Linked DNA regions of Schizosaccharomyces pombe. The gene in region 1 interacts genetically with each later gene. Each region holds a gene or a part of one and is shown in the gene's direction. Other genes may lie near its edges.

Region 1 (8,734 bases):
TTTCTGTGTTATGTGGTATGGTAAAGCAAGTTATGACTTAGTATTGAATTGATAGGATGGAGTTTAAATACGCAAAAACATATTTTACAATTCAACGTTGTTGTCAAATTGTATAAGTCTGTTTCAAATCTGATCCATCGATATTGGAAAAGTTCTGTACTTATAACCCGCTTTTATTGTTGCATTTGTTGAAAAATAAAAAATTTGACTTTAGAATGTTTTCATATTGAACATGTGAACGTATTCAACTGTCAAAAAATGTGTGCAGTTTAGTAAATAAGCGTAATTTACCCATCAATAAACAATGAAATTCATCTTTACAGTAGCTCTACTAAAAGGATGTAATTTTATTTTATATAAGCGCATACAAAAACACGCTAGATCAAAACATTAACTATATATACATTTTCTGACTCAATCATAACTAAGCACTTATCACATATGTGTAATTGATTTAATGATTATAATACAATTTCTCCATCCTCTCCAGTTTTTGGCCTTTTAGGGCTTGAATGAAGGTCAGAAGGTTCATCTTCCTCATCCCGTCCTCGCTTTTTAGTAATCTCTGACTGCTTTTGACTATTTTCAGAAGATTTTGGACTAGATGTTACTTCCAATATAGTTTCAGCAACATTATTCTCTTGCTTTTCAGATATTTTAGAATTTATGGTGGAAGTAATTTCTTCTGTGACCTCAAAGTGATCATCATTTTGTTTTAGTTTTTCAATATTTTCGGGAGATTTCACATGTGAAGATGGGTCCTTTGAAGCTTCAGATGTATTATCATCTTCTGATTTGAGAACCTTATTAACCTGAACCAAAGATTCACCGTTTACTTCACTGTCCACACCCTCAGTTGGGGGTTTAGGTGATACCTTTGGCAAGTCATTTTTATGTTTTCCTTCTTCAACCTCAACGCTTTCTTTTTCCTCTTCATTTTGGACAATATCACCTTCAGCATCTGTTTGCATAGGACTTGCAAAGTTTTGAGAATTGTGCTTGACATTCTCCCTCTTTTTCATTTCCTCTAATAACTCTTCTCCTTCTATAATATGAATATCAAAAGCTGGAGGAATAGAGGGTGTAATTTTCGATGTAGTCGGTTTGCCCTCAATGGAATTACAAAGCAATTCAACATCACCTAGTCCGGTATCCGAAAAGTTTTGAAGATGGCTATTAATTGCTGAACGAAAGGCACGCCATGTCTTCGTTGCCAAGGACTGTTCATGGAAATGCTTGTCATCATCTCTAACTGCCTCTTCTATTTCAAACTTGTCTGCTTTAACGCCAGATAAAAAGCTCTCAGGTGATGGAATCCGGTACCTTTCCTCCTTTTTGAGATCATCAAGGGTATTTTCTCCAGCCTGCTCCCAGAGCCTCGACAAAGCAGCATTTCCCATAGCAAATCTTAATTTCACTGGGGTGTTTGTAAGCTTTTTTAAGCCTTCGACAGCTTCATCAATAGCCGCTTTATCTACTAGGGGTTTTTCAAGGGAAGGGCAGCCAAGCCCTTTCCATAATTTCCAATTACCCTCAATATGTATAATTTCTTTAATGGTTCTTTGCACAGAACCACACCGGGCAGTATGTAAGAAACTATATGCTTCTTTGGATAATTCATTTAACTTTGAGGTCTACATATTAGCAATCAATAAAATCAGTTTTTTTCGAGTCTAAAAAAGAACATACATCTTCGTCAGACAAAATAACAATGGGAATTACCGCCTTATTTGTCCATTTTTCAAGAGTTCTCCTTTCAATTCGTTCTTTAGAATGGTCAAGCAAAAAGTCGAAAATAATAATTAATTGTAAAATAGCCTGTAACCGGAAATCTTCATCTGAAAGTTGGTATTCAAAAAGCGACCGAGAATATATATATTTAGAAGGAAATCCTTTATCCAAAGTTATATATTTTTCAGAAAGTAATGAGCTAGAGTTTGGATCAATTGTAGGGTTTGACTTCCCATTGAAGAACGTATTTTGTAATATAGATTCGAATGCCTGTATTGCAGAACCAGCTGCATCTATAAACTTAGGTAAGGTATCACTTGCTAGTAATTTAGGAGGGTTGGAGCACATACACTGCAAATCCCAATAAGCAGTAAATAAGGTATTAAGTTTTTTGTGATATGAGAGGTCTGTTCGGTCCGAAATGGGTGTGGATGGTGGTGACAGTTCTACCTTCCCAAAAGAATGAACAGTATTATAATCTCCACGTAAATTGGCTCCACTCCGTTCTTCAGGGGGGAAAGCCTTACTTAGCAGAATATCGATCCGCCCACAAAAAGATGAATTTTCTTGCCGAGAAAGACGCCGGAGTAATTCATTTGATATCCGAAGCAAAACGGGTCCTCTTCCACGATTGCTGACAATACCTTTCATCAAGCTAGGTCTGGTTTCAAAATATTCATATAATTTGGCGCATTCGTTGACGGTGTGAATGTCCATCAGCTCTTCCAAGATTAGAAAAGGCAACAGGTGATCACAGAAGCTTTCGTTAATTTCGTTCCCTATTACTAAGAGATCCAAAATCGCAAATAAACATTTTAATCGCTCCTCCAATCCAATCTCACTTTTGCGCTACACGAAAATAACAATTAGTAACTTAAGGAAAACTTCATTATGGAAAAAGCACATACTGCTGTTTCATAACAGCAAAATCTTATTGCCGTTTCAAACTCAGTTGAGTTATGAAAACTCTCAACAATCGAAGGCCATAATTCTTTGATGAATAATTCATATTCAGAACAAAGTGGACTCTTATCCAGTTCTTTTGCCTTTTCTAATGGATATGTATTATAAAAAGCTTCAATTAAACCCTTTTGCACCTCCATTACTTTAAAAGTCTGCGAATATACAATCCGCGCGCAGAAACGTGAGTTTATCTAGCATTGACAATGTCATTTAGAAATAAGGATTTATTCGTTATTGCTTTGTGTGGTTCATTGCTTCTCGCTATAACAGGAGCAGCATGAAGGAATATGTAATTTTGCCCTTAACCAAACAACAAAGTATTTTCTTAAATTTGCAGTGAGTCTGAAAATGAGACTTTATTTAAGAAATTGATAGGATATGAGTGTCAATGAAGATCTATCCCATTTAGGGGTTTTTTCGGTTGACCAAGAGAATTTGGAACGCGATGTTACGAATACTGCTAGTGAGTACATTGCACATGAAAGTCGAGAGATCGAAAAGAAGAGACTTCAAAAAGTCAGGAAAGAAATATCTTCTGTAAAAGAAAAAATACGTCGCCTTGATGAGCGTATAGACAGTCGACTTACAAAAATAAGTGTCAAGGAGAACTTCCGCAAACAATTATCTAAATTCCGAGACACTCTTCAAAGTTTACAATCAGACGAAAATGATATTAAGAGAAGACTTAATAACGAAGATTCGGCAAATGCCCCTGGTATAGGTGCATTTTCGACTGAAGAATTGGAAAGACAAGAGCTCATCCGTACTGGTAAGGTTACACCGTTTCGAAATCTCTCTGGACTACAAAAAGAAGTTGATTTTGATGATGAATCTAGCATTCGTGAGGCTGTTATAAAGTCTGAAGGAACATACTATGAAACGGCACCTCATTTGAGTTCGGAGCCGTCAAATATTGATCATGGGATTATTCCAAGAGACGAAAAAGATGAGTACGTAACTGTGGATGCTGTTACGGAGAAAGTAGTAACTGCCGCTATAGATGATGGAGATGATTTGGTATATCGACAAAGGCTTAATGCTTGGTGTGCGAATCGTAAGGAATTACGAGATCAGGCCTCAGCATCTGAAAACAATAAAGATAGAGGAGAGTTTGAAGGTAAAGATGAGTGGTTACTACCTCATCCTTCCAAAAAAGGACAGACTTTTGAGGGTGGATTTACCATCCCAGGTGATATTCGCCCACATCTTTTCCGTTATCAAGTCACTTGCGTACAATGGTTATGGGAACTCTATTGTCAAGAGGCCGGAGGAATCATTGGTGATGAAATGGGACTAGGAAAAACTATTCAAATAGTATCTTTCCTTTCGTCTTTGCATCACTCTGGCAAATTTCAAAAGCCTGCACTTATCGTTTGTCCAGCGACTTTAATGAAGCAGTGGGTTAATGAGTTTCATACATGGTGGGCTCCATTACGTGTTGTTGTTCTTCATGCTACTGGCAGCGGACAGCGTGCTTCACGCGAAAAGAGACAGTATGAATCTGACGCTTCTGAAAGTGAAGCGGAAGAAAGCAAAACCTCCATAAAATTAAGAGGTGCTTCAAGTTCATTCCACAGATACGCTAAGAACTTAGTTGAAAGTGTCTTCACTAGAGGCCACATTTTAATTACAACATATGCTGGTTTAAGGATATATGGTGATTTGATTTTACCACGGGAATGGGGTTATTGTGTTTTGGATGAAGGGCACAAAATACGAAACCCAGATTCTGAAATATCTATTTCGTGTAAGCAAATCCGTACTGTGAATAGGATTATCCTCTCAGGGACTCCGATCCAGAACAACCTTACCGAGCTTTGGAATTTATTTGATTTTGTATTTCCTGGAAGATTGGGTACATTACCGGTATTTCAAAATCAATTTGCCTTACCTATTAATATTGGTGGTTATGCCAATGCTTCAAATGTTCAAGTGCAAACCGCTTATAAATGCGCCTGCATGCTTCGAGATTTAATTTCTCCTTATTTACTTAGAAGAATGAAGCTTGACGTTGCTGCAGATTTACCTAAGAAGTCCGAACAAGTATTGTTCTGTAAGCTGACTCCTTTACAAAGGAAAGCTTACCAAGATTTTTTGCAAGGCTCTGATATGCAAAAGATCTTGAACGGAAAGCGTCAAATGCTTTATGGAATTGATATACTACGAAAAATTTGTAATCATCCAGATCTTGTAACTCGAGAGTACTTGTTACATAAAGAAGATTACAACTATGGTGATCCTGAAAAGTCTGGCAAACTGAAGGTTATTAGAGCATTACTAACTTTGTGGAAAAAACAAGGACATAGAACTCTTCTATTTTCTCAGACTCGCCAAATGCTCGACATACTGGAAATAGGATTAAAGGATTTGCCGGATGTTCATTACTGTCGCATGGATGGTAGCACATCTATTGCTTTAAGACAAGATTTGGTGGACAACTTTAATAAAAATGAGTATTTTGATGTGTTTCTTCTAACTACTCGTGTTGGTGGATTAGGAGTCAATTTGACTGGTGCTGACAGGGTAATTCTTTTTGATCCTGATTGGAATCCCTCAACGGATGCTCAAGCACGTGAACGTGCTTGGAGACTGGGCCAAAAGAAAGATGTAGTAGTTTATCGGTTGATGACTGCTGGAACTATTGAAGAAAAAATTTATCATCGTCAAATCTTTAAGCAGTTTCTGACTAACAAAATTTTGAAAGATCCAAAACAAAGAAGGTTTTTTAAAATGACGGACTTGCACGATTTGTTTACGTTAGGCGATAACAAGACTGAGGGCACTGAGACAGGCAGCATGTTTTTGGGATCTGAACGAGTACTTCGAAAGGATAATTCCTCAAGAAATGGCAATGAAGCTGAAGATATTCCAGCTCGTGACCGAAAAAAGCACAAAATTCACGACAAAGGTAAAAAAGTTAACAGCTCCAAAGTGTTTGAAAAAATGGGGATTGCATCGATGGAAAAGTATAAACCACCGCAAGAGTCAAATGTTACTAAGACAAACTCTGATTCGACTTTAGGGGATGATTCCGTCCTTGATGATATTTTTGCTAGTGCTGGTATTCAGAGTACTTTAAAGCACGACGATATCATGGAAGCCTCCCAGACTGAAAGCATATTGGTTGAAAAAGAAGCGACGCGTGTTGCTAATGAAGCTCTGCGTGCAGTTTCATCTTTTCGGCGACCTCCTCGTCAACTTATACCTCCGCAGCAATCTACTAATGTTCCTGGTACTTCTAAACCATCAGGTCCGATTACTTCAAGCACTCTTCTTGCCCGACTAAAACAGAGACGATGAATTAATTAGAAGAAGTTCGCCTTAGAGTAAGCTGTATCCATTAAAATTTCGGACCCAATCTTGTACCCATTTATTTATTTATTATTATTTCCCTTTATTTTGTACATTAAGTTTTTCATGATTTAAGCTTTATTTATGGATTTATTGATAGACACGCGATCATTTCATTTTTTGAATGGGAATTATCCTTATTACTAGGTGGGTTTACTTTGCTTGAAAAGTATTGGAAATGTCAATTCCATGTTGAGGATAGGGCTGTCGGAATTACTTTGATCATTTTTCCCTTTTGTTAAAGTACTTGGTTAAAGTGTGTTAATGTTATTGTAAGCAAGCACTTGACAAATTCGCTTTACCTGAGACCTAAAATTAGCGTTAATAACTTTCTAGTTGGCTGAGAAAAGTATGAACACTCAAAGCGGCTTAGTTAGTGGTATGTGCAACCCGTGCAACCCTTTTTGTAGCTATAAATTACTACGTTCTTTTGTCAACGTTATTAGAATGCTAGAGTCATGTTTGTTGACAGTGTCAGAAAAGACCTTTTAATTAGAAAACTAGTGGTTCAAAAATTTTGATGTCTTGGTGCTTATTGGCGAACTTATTACTAGTACTTTTTCATTTTATATAAATTAATATTTGTATATAAGCAATGCAACCGCATCTAACCATTTTTACACACATATTTGGTTTTACCAAAAACTTGACTCGTTAATTAATTTTGGGAGCTGCAACCAACGCTGTACTTTCGTAAGATTACTTGAAATTCGAAGTCTATGTAGTTCGCTGAAACAAAATAAGACTCTGCTTCAAACAATGTTCTCTGTTGGTAAAAAAATCTCTTTTATTTTGCCTATTAAGGGCGTATTGCAAAAATTAAAGGATAATGCTCAAAAAACCGTTCTCTTGGATGCTACTTGGTACTTGCCAACAGACACTAAAAACGGAAAGAAGGAGTATTTAGAAAGTCGTCTTCCAGGTGCTCAATACTTTGATATAGATGAGGCTAAAGATCACAAAAATCCCCTTCCTCATATGCTTCCTCCAGCTGACGAATTCGCCTCTTACGTTGGAAAATTAGGAATTGACAGAAACGTAAGTAGTAGTTTAGAAATTCCAATTACTTAGTCTTCAATTTTACTAATATTTTAGACCAATGTTATCATTTATGACCGAAAAGGGTTTTTTTCGTCTCCTAGGGTTTTCTGGACCTTTAAAGTCTTTGGTCATGAGCATGTTTTCTTATTTCCTAATGCGTTTAACGCATGGAAAACTGAGGGTCTTGAATTGGAAACTGGAGAACCTAGAACTCCAAAGCCCGTTGTTTACGAAGGTGCTAAGTTGAACAAAGATCTGGTTGCTTCCTTTGATGACATTGTAAAGGTGATTGAAAGTCCAGATGCCGCAGGCGTTCACATCGTTGATGCTCGCGCTCATGAAAGGTTTCTTGGCAACGTTCCCGAATCTCGTCCTGGTTTAGCTAGTGGGCATATTCCTACGTCCATCAACATTCCATTTACCGAAACCACTGCTGCTGGTATTACAGCTCCGAAGCCTGAGGAAGATTTGGAAAAGGTGTTTTCTAGCCATGGTTTAACAGACAAGTCTGTTCCCATAATCACTTCATGTGGCTCTGGTGTAACTGCTTCTGTATTGTTTGCTGCTCTTAAGGAGTGCGGTTTTAAGGATGTACGCGTTTATGATGAGTCTTGGTCTGGATATGGAAAACGTGCCAATGAAGATTCTTCTTTACTAGCAACTGGCCCTTAAGCATACTATGGTTATCAACGATGTATTACGAAGATAAAGTAAAGGTGTGAATGATTTACCTTATGAGTATTGATTAGGATTTTTGTTTTTAAATAACAAATTCATTTTATTGTTAAGTTGACGAATAAATGTTGAATGATTTTGCTTTCCAATGTTAAATGTTATATAATATATATGTAGCTGTCTCGATAGTTTAACGTCAGACCCGGAAAATAATTTAATAAAGGCTCATAATAAAACTGACGAGTTTCTCTTTTTAAAGTGCAAGCCTTTGGAAAAGGTTGTTAAGTGCACTTTTGACTGGTGTTATTCAAGTGAGTTTTATGGCTATGAAACTGAAACACTTTGCGTCTTTTCTATGAAAAGAGTTAATATGATTTATTTCGTGCATAGGTGTAAGGTAATGGTTCCCTATTAGGACTTTTTTTTGGATATATAAAAATACAATAATGCATGAAGATGTAATTTTATACAGGACTTTGTTGGTATGAAGTTAAACGGTCAATATATGGTCCAATATAAGGAACTGTTCTCAGGAACGATATAATTAATGGGTAAAAGACTTTGAACAAATTGAAAAATCCAAGACATTCAACAAAAAATCCTATGATGGGGAAATGAAACAACGTAAGCAATAATCCACTAAAGAAACTTATGCTTCCTAACATTCTATCCTTACGAAGGAAGAAGCTGACGGACTTGGAGAAACCCGCTATCATAAAAAAACCAAAGACCAGTAATAACTATATACGTATTAGTGTTATACAGGAATAATAGAGAGTTGATATATGTGAGTCAATGAAATGAAATGAAAGTTAATAATTCACGTCTAAGGACACTTCATATACTTAGGATGTTTGTTTACTAAACATACATTACCAAGCGACAATAGAGGTCCATCAAAAAACATGAAAATTCCCTAAAATGTTAGCATTATGACTTTATTCTGTCAATTTGATGATCCATTTCACTTGGT
Region 2 (7,683 bases), 1.1 Mb from region 1:
TGTAAAATCAACATGAATGAGTGATGGTTTATCATCGCCTGTAATGCTATTTGAAAGTAAATGAGTGTGTTTTCTCACTCTTTCACTCAAATAAGGACGTGAATTAGGTAAGAATGTCCCAGACGTTAGTAAAAGTTGCAATTCTAATCGTTTATTTACATTTGATGGAACTTTTGCAATTGAATGCTTCGATATTGATAATGACGGTTTCGGGCAAGGTAGCTCTGCGCGATAAAAAGGATCATAAATCTCAAATTCTTCCTCAAAAAATTCTTCGTTATTTGTGTCAAAGTCAACCTTGGGCAATTTAGAAGAGACGGAATGCAAATATTGCGTATCCGTTCTTCTTTTCACCCGTGGTGAACTATTAGTCATGCCATAAATAGGAAATTGTTTGAGAAATTATTGGGCTTTTTACTTTTAATCCTTCAGTGTGCAAGTTCACTAGTTTAACAGAAGTTATGGGTTGCTGAGTGAGTTTAAGGCACTGATTGATATAAAGAATTTACTAAGTCCAAAAAGTATAAAGACATTCCAAAATCGAAAATATTATATTAAAATTGAAGATATAATGATTATCTATTGAGTTACTATTATTACAAATTTATCAGTCAAAGGTAAGTTAATGACTTTACATTGAAGCGATAAAATCTTAACTATGTTTAATTTGTTTTAAAAAACTTTAACCGTTCTATTGACAACTCAATAATAAATTATATCCATTAATAGGAATCCCCAAAAAAATAAATAAACTTCCAAAACGCATATACTGACTTAGGGAATTACGGTCCAAAAAACTAGGATAACAAAAAAAATGCAAAGGGAGATATGGCAGGTATATAAAAAGGAAACGGCCAAAATTTGGGCTAATTTTAAAAAAACAAAATTCTAATTTGAGAACAAGAATTGCATATCCTCGACAGAAAGCTGGTTCAAAGCCTTTTCGTCTTGATCTATGGTTGCATGTATCATCTGAGCTTTCTTTTCTTGTAGTTCAATAATTTTGCTTTCAATGGAATTTTCAATACACAGGGTAATTACTTTTATCGGCCTTTTTTGTCCAATACGATGAATTCGATCCATTGCCTGCCACTGTACAGCTCCATTCCACCAAGGATCCATCATAAACACTTGAGATGCCTCTGTAAGGTTCAAAGCAACACCACCTGCTTTCAACGAAACTAGAAAAATGGTAATATTAATATCGTTACTGAAAGCCTCAATAGTAGCTGCTCTCGCTTTGGGGGTCATACCACCATCTAGCTTTACACAATTAAACCCGGCTTTTCGAAGTCGCCAATGAATGAGATCTAACATAGAAGTAAATTGAGAGAAAACAATCGACTTCAGTGTTCGGTCCTTCTTACGAAGTAAGTAAAGCTCCTCAACTAATGCTTCAATTTTTGTAGATGAACGCCAACTATTCATATCAATTCTATTCAAAATCGATGCATTCTTAAACTTCTCTTCAGAAAAATCTTCTAAAGCAGGGGCACTAAGATCTATGCTTAAGGGAATGAAACAACTTGGACAGTTGACATTTTCTCCATCACCAGCTGCATTGATATATTCCGTAACGCAGAGTCGACAAAATGTGTGATGGCAACGTGATTCTATAGCATCTTGAGCGACTTCGTCACAAATCTTACAGACGATATTTTCCTGATTTTCAATATCAACTGTTTTTCGTTTGCTAGCTAACACCAGGTCAGGATGATCTGCCATTTGGCGCATTCGTGTAATTAGCTGGAAAATGTTTGCATAATTATTCAAAACGACACCTTCAGCAAGATATGTATTAAATTTTCTTTTTGAATCCATATATAAAGATTGGTATACATCTTCCTCTTCTTCGTTGAATAAATCTTTCCTCACTTCAACGACTCGAGGAGGTAATCCAAGGTCATCAGCCCTCTCTAATTTTGTTCGACGTAACATAATGTGTTTTAATAAAGAATGCACCTTTTTAAAAGCTAGCTTTCCTGGACCTTCGTATCCAAACTTTTGTATTGGTTTTAGCATTTCAGCGTTAAAATAGCAAGTATGACTCATTGGTTTATGGCCGCATTCGTCGCAATTACTTCTATCGGAAAATCTCCAGTGCAGAGATTTACATTCACATTGCAAGCAATAGTAGTAAGCAAAAGGATCTGCCCGTAGGAACCGAAGAAGTGAAAATAATTCTCCAATACGGTTTTGCAAAGGTGTTCCTGAAAGACATATCTTTCTTGTCGTTCTTAAGCCACAAACAGCTCTGGCAGTGTTACAAGTCCTTGATTTGATACCATGGGCCTCATCAAGTATAATTCGGTAAAACTCCATTTGATGAAGTAATGACTTTTCTTTTACAACACCGTTTTTCCTTCTGAATCCGCTGCGTTCCTTCCTGTAAACTGATTCAATTACATTGTAACTCGTTAGTACAACATCATAGCTCGAAAGCTCTTCTCCTGAAATATCACGAGCCTGGCCATAATAAAGATATGTACTCAGTGCTTTATTGGTATGTGTATCAATCTCTTCTTTCCATTGCATAATTGCTACAACCGGAGCAACAACCAAGGTTGGCTTACCTCGAGGTTCTGAAAGCAACAACGCAATTGTTTGAATAGTCTTACCCATACCCATTTCATCGGCCAAGATTCCTCCACCAAAAGAGGAATCTTCTTGTCGTTTTAACCAATATACACCTTCTCGTTGAAAAGGGAGAAGGTTTAGGACCAACTCTTTGGGTTGCTCGATCTGTTTCACTTCACGAGGTGCTTCTTCTTCCAATTTCTCCCAAACATGTTCTAGTTCAGGATGTTGTCGAATCAGACGATAATGGGTTCTTTCATGTGATGGAATTGATTTTGCTTGTGTTCTAGAGGAAGAGGACGCGGAAGAAGAAGCCCTAGCGGATACCCTCCTTCGTTTGGACTGGTAACTTAAAGGGATTGACTCTTCATCACTTTCCGTAGAAGAACTTGGAGCAGCTTCTGGAATTTCTACTTTACTATCAAAAGTTTCATCCTCTTTGATATCAATTATGCTAGCAACTTCATCACTTTCATCATCATCAATAAATTCGGATTCATTAGATTCTTCTGGAGATGACAATGGCACAAACTTTTTTTTCAAATTCGAGGACCTTAATGAACGTTTTCTGGCACTAGAAAAACCTGTATTGGGATTTGCTTCTACATTGTCTGTGCTGCTACCGGTGTGTGTACTGGTATCAGAAATGGATAATGGGGGTGTCGAATGTTGAGATGAGGTGTTGTTTGACTGGATAATCAATTTTTTGTTTGTTGACAGAGGTTCTTCAAACTCTTTTCCGTTCCAGCGCGTTGTCTCCATATCTAACTTGTCGTCACGCTCGACTTGTTGATTTGAAGCATTCCCCTTTGAATCACCATTATCATCTAGAACAAAATGCATATTTTCTTTTCCCTTATTACTATTCGAGTTTATTTTATTACATGACGTCCCCATTTGTGAATGTAAATTGTTTTCAACCACTTCCTCATCTTCACTTTCTACAATAATGCCCGCAATGGGAGAAGATGACCATTCATCTTGATTGCCTGGTACATCATGAATGTTATTTATCTCTGAATAAGTAGTAGAAAATGGAGCCTGCCCATTACTTTGCTCATCATTATTGTCTGCTTGAAGAGACGCCTGAGTAGTATGGTTATTGCGAGTATTTTTCCAATTTATGGAATCAATTGTATCGTTTGAATTAATATCTACAGCTTCATTTTGTAATTGGTCCACTTTTAGAGTAGATATATGCATAGTAGTGGTTGGTATGAGACAAGTTGCCACGCGATCTGAAGCGATTTAATTAAACTCAACCACACTTCCACCTTATCCTCAGCATACTAAGGATTTCTTTAAAATGTCAAGTGGAAGTCGGGTGAGAGGGCCAAATTCTGCTTTAACAGAATTTTTAAGAGTATGTGATGACTCTTTCTTAGCTCGGAGTTACTAATGCATTATTCAGTCTCAAGGTATCAATGCTTCAGCATTAGGACGTGCTCGTCCTCCTCGTCAAAGCGAGGAGTCAGCAGGGCAATCGACTGGGACAGAATCAGAAGTTATTCAAACACCGACTTCTGTTGAAGAAAACAACGAAGATGAAAACTCGATGTCGACAACGACAATTGAGATACCAGTAGTGAAACGACGAAATCTACGAAATCAAAAAAAGAAGAAGAAAACGGATGAAGAAGCTGAAGACAACGAGGACACTTTTTCAATGAATTCAAGAGCTGGGTTTTCTTATAAAGCAAGGGAGCATACGGGCAAACTAGATTTTTGCGCACACTGTAATTGTCGCTTTACAATAACCCCATACAGCAAATACAGCAATTCAGAGAAAGGGTGGCTATGTTATCCTTGTAGTCGTGGTGCTGAAGATCGATCGGTACCTGAATTAAGGACGAGAAAAAGAAAAGCATTGACCCGTAAAAAGGTGGCTGCCGCTACCATGGACGAAGAAATCAGTGTTCCTAAGCTTCAGGATTTGTGTATACGAGTTATTGCTGAATACATAAATGATATCGAAGCTTTTGGGGATATTGGCCAAGTGAATATGGACAAAATTAGCCAAATAATTTCAAAAAACCGCTCTCTTAACGATACTACTGTGAAATTATTCTTAAGTGGGGGTCAAACTGAATTAAAACTATATGATTGCTCAAAGATTACAGCAGATTCACTTTTCCAAATTGCTCAATACTGCCCAAATCTTCAAACTTTGCATCTTACTTATTGTGGTCAAATGCAGGATCAAGTTTTACACTTTTATGCGGATCATTTGACTGAATTAACAGATGTATCTTTTCAAGGTGCCTTTTTGGTTTCTTCCTCAGAATGGATAAATTTTTTTAAAAAACGGGGTTCAAAGCTTATAAGTTTAGAGCTTACGGATACTGCCCGAATTCATGTTTCGGTTATCAACGCTATAGTTGACTGTTGCCCAAATTTGATTAGCCTTAATCTCTCTAGAATTTTCTATCTTGATGATGAATGCGTCCGTCTATTAGCTGGTTGTAGAAATCTTGTCAGTTTGAAGATTGAATCACCAGGCGGCATCATTAATGATGGAAGTATATTAGATGTACTAAACCAAATTGGAAGCGGTTTGCATACTCTTAGTTTATCTGGTTGTACAAAATTAACTGATGAAGTTTTGAAACAAGGTATAGGTCCTTGTTGTGGTCGTCTTAAGCATCTAAATTTAAGTGGTTTGGAACTGTTAACAGATGATGAGGCCTCTATAGTTTTTGGTGAATGGAAGATTCAGTCAGGCTTAGAAACATTGTCCTTAAGAAGGTGTCTGTCACTTGGAGATAAAACTGTTCGTGCAGTATTGGTTAATTCAGGGCATACGCTTCGCACTCTGGATTTAAATGGAATGTCGTTTGTGACTGATGAAGCATTACAGTATATTGTCAATTTTCCATTACCTATGCTAAAAGCACTTGATGTCAGCTGGATTCGTGGAATGAATGACAAATTGGTATGCGATTTTGAAAGCAAAAAGCCAACGCTTGAGAAGCTTTTGGTATGGGGAGATAATCATGTCCTGATGCCCTCAAATCGGTTACTTCTGATAGGGCGTGAAGTTCAATAAGGATGGAAATACTTTCTTTTTCAATTTTATCAAAGGTTTTGGTTGTTGAATTGGACCTGTAATTATTCTTTTGAAAAATTTAATGACTAGTACATTATTTAAATTATCACCTTATTTGATGGACACTAAGTTCCTTGAACAGCCTCAATCTCTTTTTGTGTCTTTCTGATATTATTCTTTAACGAATATTTGTATTTGAAACCTTTTTATTTTTAATTTTATTTATTTATTTATTTTCAAATTAGATGATATGGTCTGCGAACAAATAGCTAACCATTTCTTTGGGTAATGAATTATTTTTTTATTACCATTCCCTCTCTTTACGAATGGATCTCCGAATCATTTTTACACATAATCAAACAATTTAACTACCTTTTTTTAAAAAAAAAATCCCGCTGCTCTTTGTTGTAATACAAATATCAAGCAATGTAATTTTCAATCACCTTGATTTTATATAGCATAAGATTATGAATAGTACACTAATGGTATTGCTTGCCAGACTAAAGAGGTTTACTGCTGCTCGGAAACGCAAAGCTCATCAAACAAACATAAATATTTATCCTTTTTAAACTGCAAACATTCTTTTCAAACTGTAATATTCCAATCGCCCGACAAGTTGGGCATATGAAAAATCAAACAATTGAAAACACTGGTTATGCAAGTCGATTTGGCTATCTCACAATCCGCCAGAAAAGTATGCAAAAAATATATACAAGGGCAAAAAAAAGCAAAAAGCAAGACAAGCGGTATGAGATTAATAATAATATTGAGTTGTAAACCGAAAATATTGATTCTAATGCTTAATAATTCGAGTTTACGACTACGGTCATGAGCCTCACTATAAAGAAGAATTACTTAGTGAGCCGTTGATTTATTATAAAAGAATGATTAAACGTACCTTTTGTTCAAGACTACCATTCTCCATTAAAGATATGCGATTATCTTCCTCTTGATTAATATACATCTTGAAAGAGGCTATCTTCAAACCTGTGAAATATCAATTTATATAGAGCAAATGGTCAGAGAATGAATGGGCTTTCTTCCAGAAAACGAGTTCACTTAAGCCAGGCAGGCCCTAGTCCTTATATACTATCTATTTTGCAGAGCTAAAGGGACGATTGTTAAAGCGGAGATAATGTCAGCAATACTGGACTACTCTATGATACACCATGTTGCGTATTTCTATATGTCACAAGCTCTACATTGTATTATAGATACCCGTTGATAAAAACTATTAGTAAGATTGTAAATGGAGCTTCTACTGAACCTCGTTTCACAGTTCAGTTATGAGCTATATCGGTGACCGATACTAACAGACTTCTTATAACAATAAATATAATATTGTTAGTTAACATACCGCATACCGCTACATTGTAGATCGCAAGTAAAAACTCACCGCAGTTCTATATATCGTTAAAACAGATATCAAACTGCGTAGCTAACAGATAACATACATTTATTTACTCACATATATTCTGGTTAATTATCAGTTTACATATTAAAGAAATGGGGACAGCAGAACTACAACTTTGCAGTCTCAACTTACAAACGATATAAAACATCCTTCATCATTGTATAGTACAACATACATACAAATGAATATTCGACAATGTGTTATAACCAACTCATAGTTAAAAACAACTTTAGTTATGTTGAACTTCCTTGGCTGTGTTGAATAAAGAATTCGCAGTTGCGACTTTTATGTAAACAAGTCATTAAACTCAGTTTCAGAAGCAATTGAAGGGCTTGTTATATATATTATGTGACATAAAGGTTTTTTGAATCCGGTAGAATGAATAGATTGAATAAATACAGTGAACATTTGAACAAGTGATTTAGATCTATTTATGTTTAAAGTGCTTCGCTGATCAATAAGATGAGCGACAAGCGAAAAAATGAGATATGCTGAATTACTTCAGATTTTGTTTTCTTTGGTTATCAAAATTCCAAGCTTACTCGCTCGAATTTCTCAACTATTAATCTATGTGTCTCATCATCGTTCATTCCATTAAAACCAATTGAAAATACGGCTACAACAGTAAAACAATACGATTGTTAAA

What was found.
Region 2: mutations in rhp26 (region 1) and rhp7 impair growth when combined (synthetic growth defect), as found in Schizosaccharomyces pombe (2 studies listed by BioGRID, with this or other methods).

Annotation. Positions count from the first base shown.
Region 1 is NC_003421.2:1,176,896-1,185,629, reverse strand, and holds rhp26 (SNF2 family helicase Rhp26 ), read left to right. Parts: upstream 1-2,991; 5' UTR 2,992-3,072; coding exon 3,073-5,994; 3' UTR 5,995-6,698; downstream 6,699-8,734. Other genes in the region: THO complex subunit Tho1, read right to left, coding at 462-1,634, 1,690-2,580, 2,640-2,834; thiosulfate sulfurtransferase Tum1, read left to right, coding at 6,805-7,083, 7,141-7,758; transport protein Got1, read right to left, coding at 8,226-8,501, 8,633-8,677. UniProt on the Schizosaccharomyces pombe protein: Involved in transcription-coupled repair (TCR).
Region 2 is NC_003421.2:101,797-109,479, forward strand, and holds rhp7 (DNA repair protein), read left to right. Parts: upstream 1-3,883; coding exon 3,884-3,940; exon of another isoform or gene 3,941-3,988; coding exon 3,989-5,623; 3' UTR 5,624-6,052; downstream 6,053-7,683. Other genes in the region: raf1 (CLRC ubiquitin ligase complex WD repeat subunit Raf1/Dos1), read right to left, coding at 1-375; rhp16 (ATP-dependent helicase), read right to left, coding at 889-3,780; SPOM_SPCC330.19C (uncharacterized protein), read right to left, coding at 6,209-6,461, 6,522-6,541. UniProt on the Schizosaccharomyces pombe protein: Involved in global genome repair (GGR) via nucleotide excision repair (NER), in conjunction with rhp16, after UV irradiation.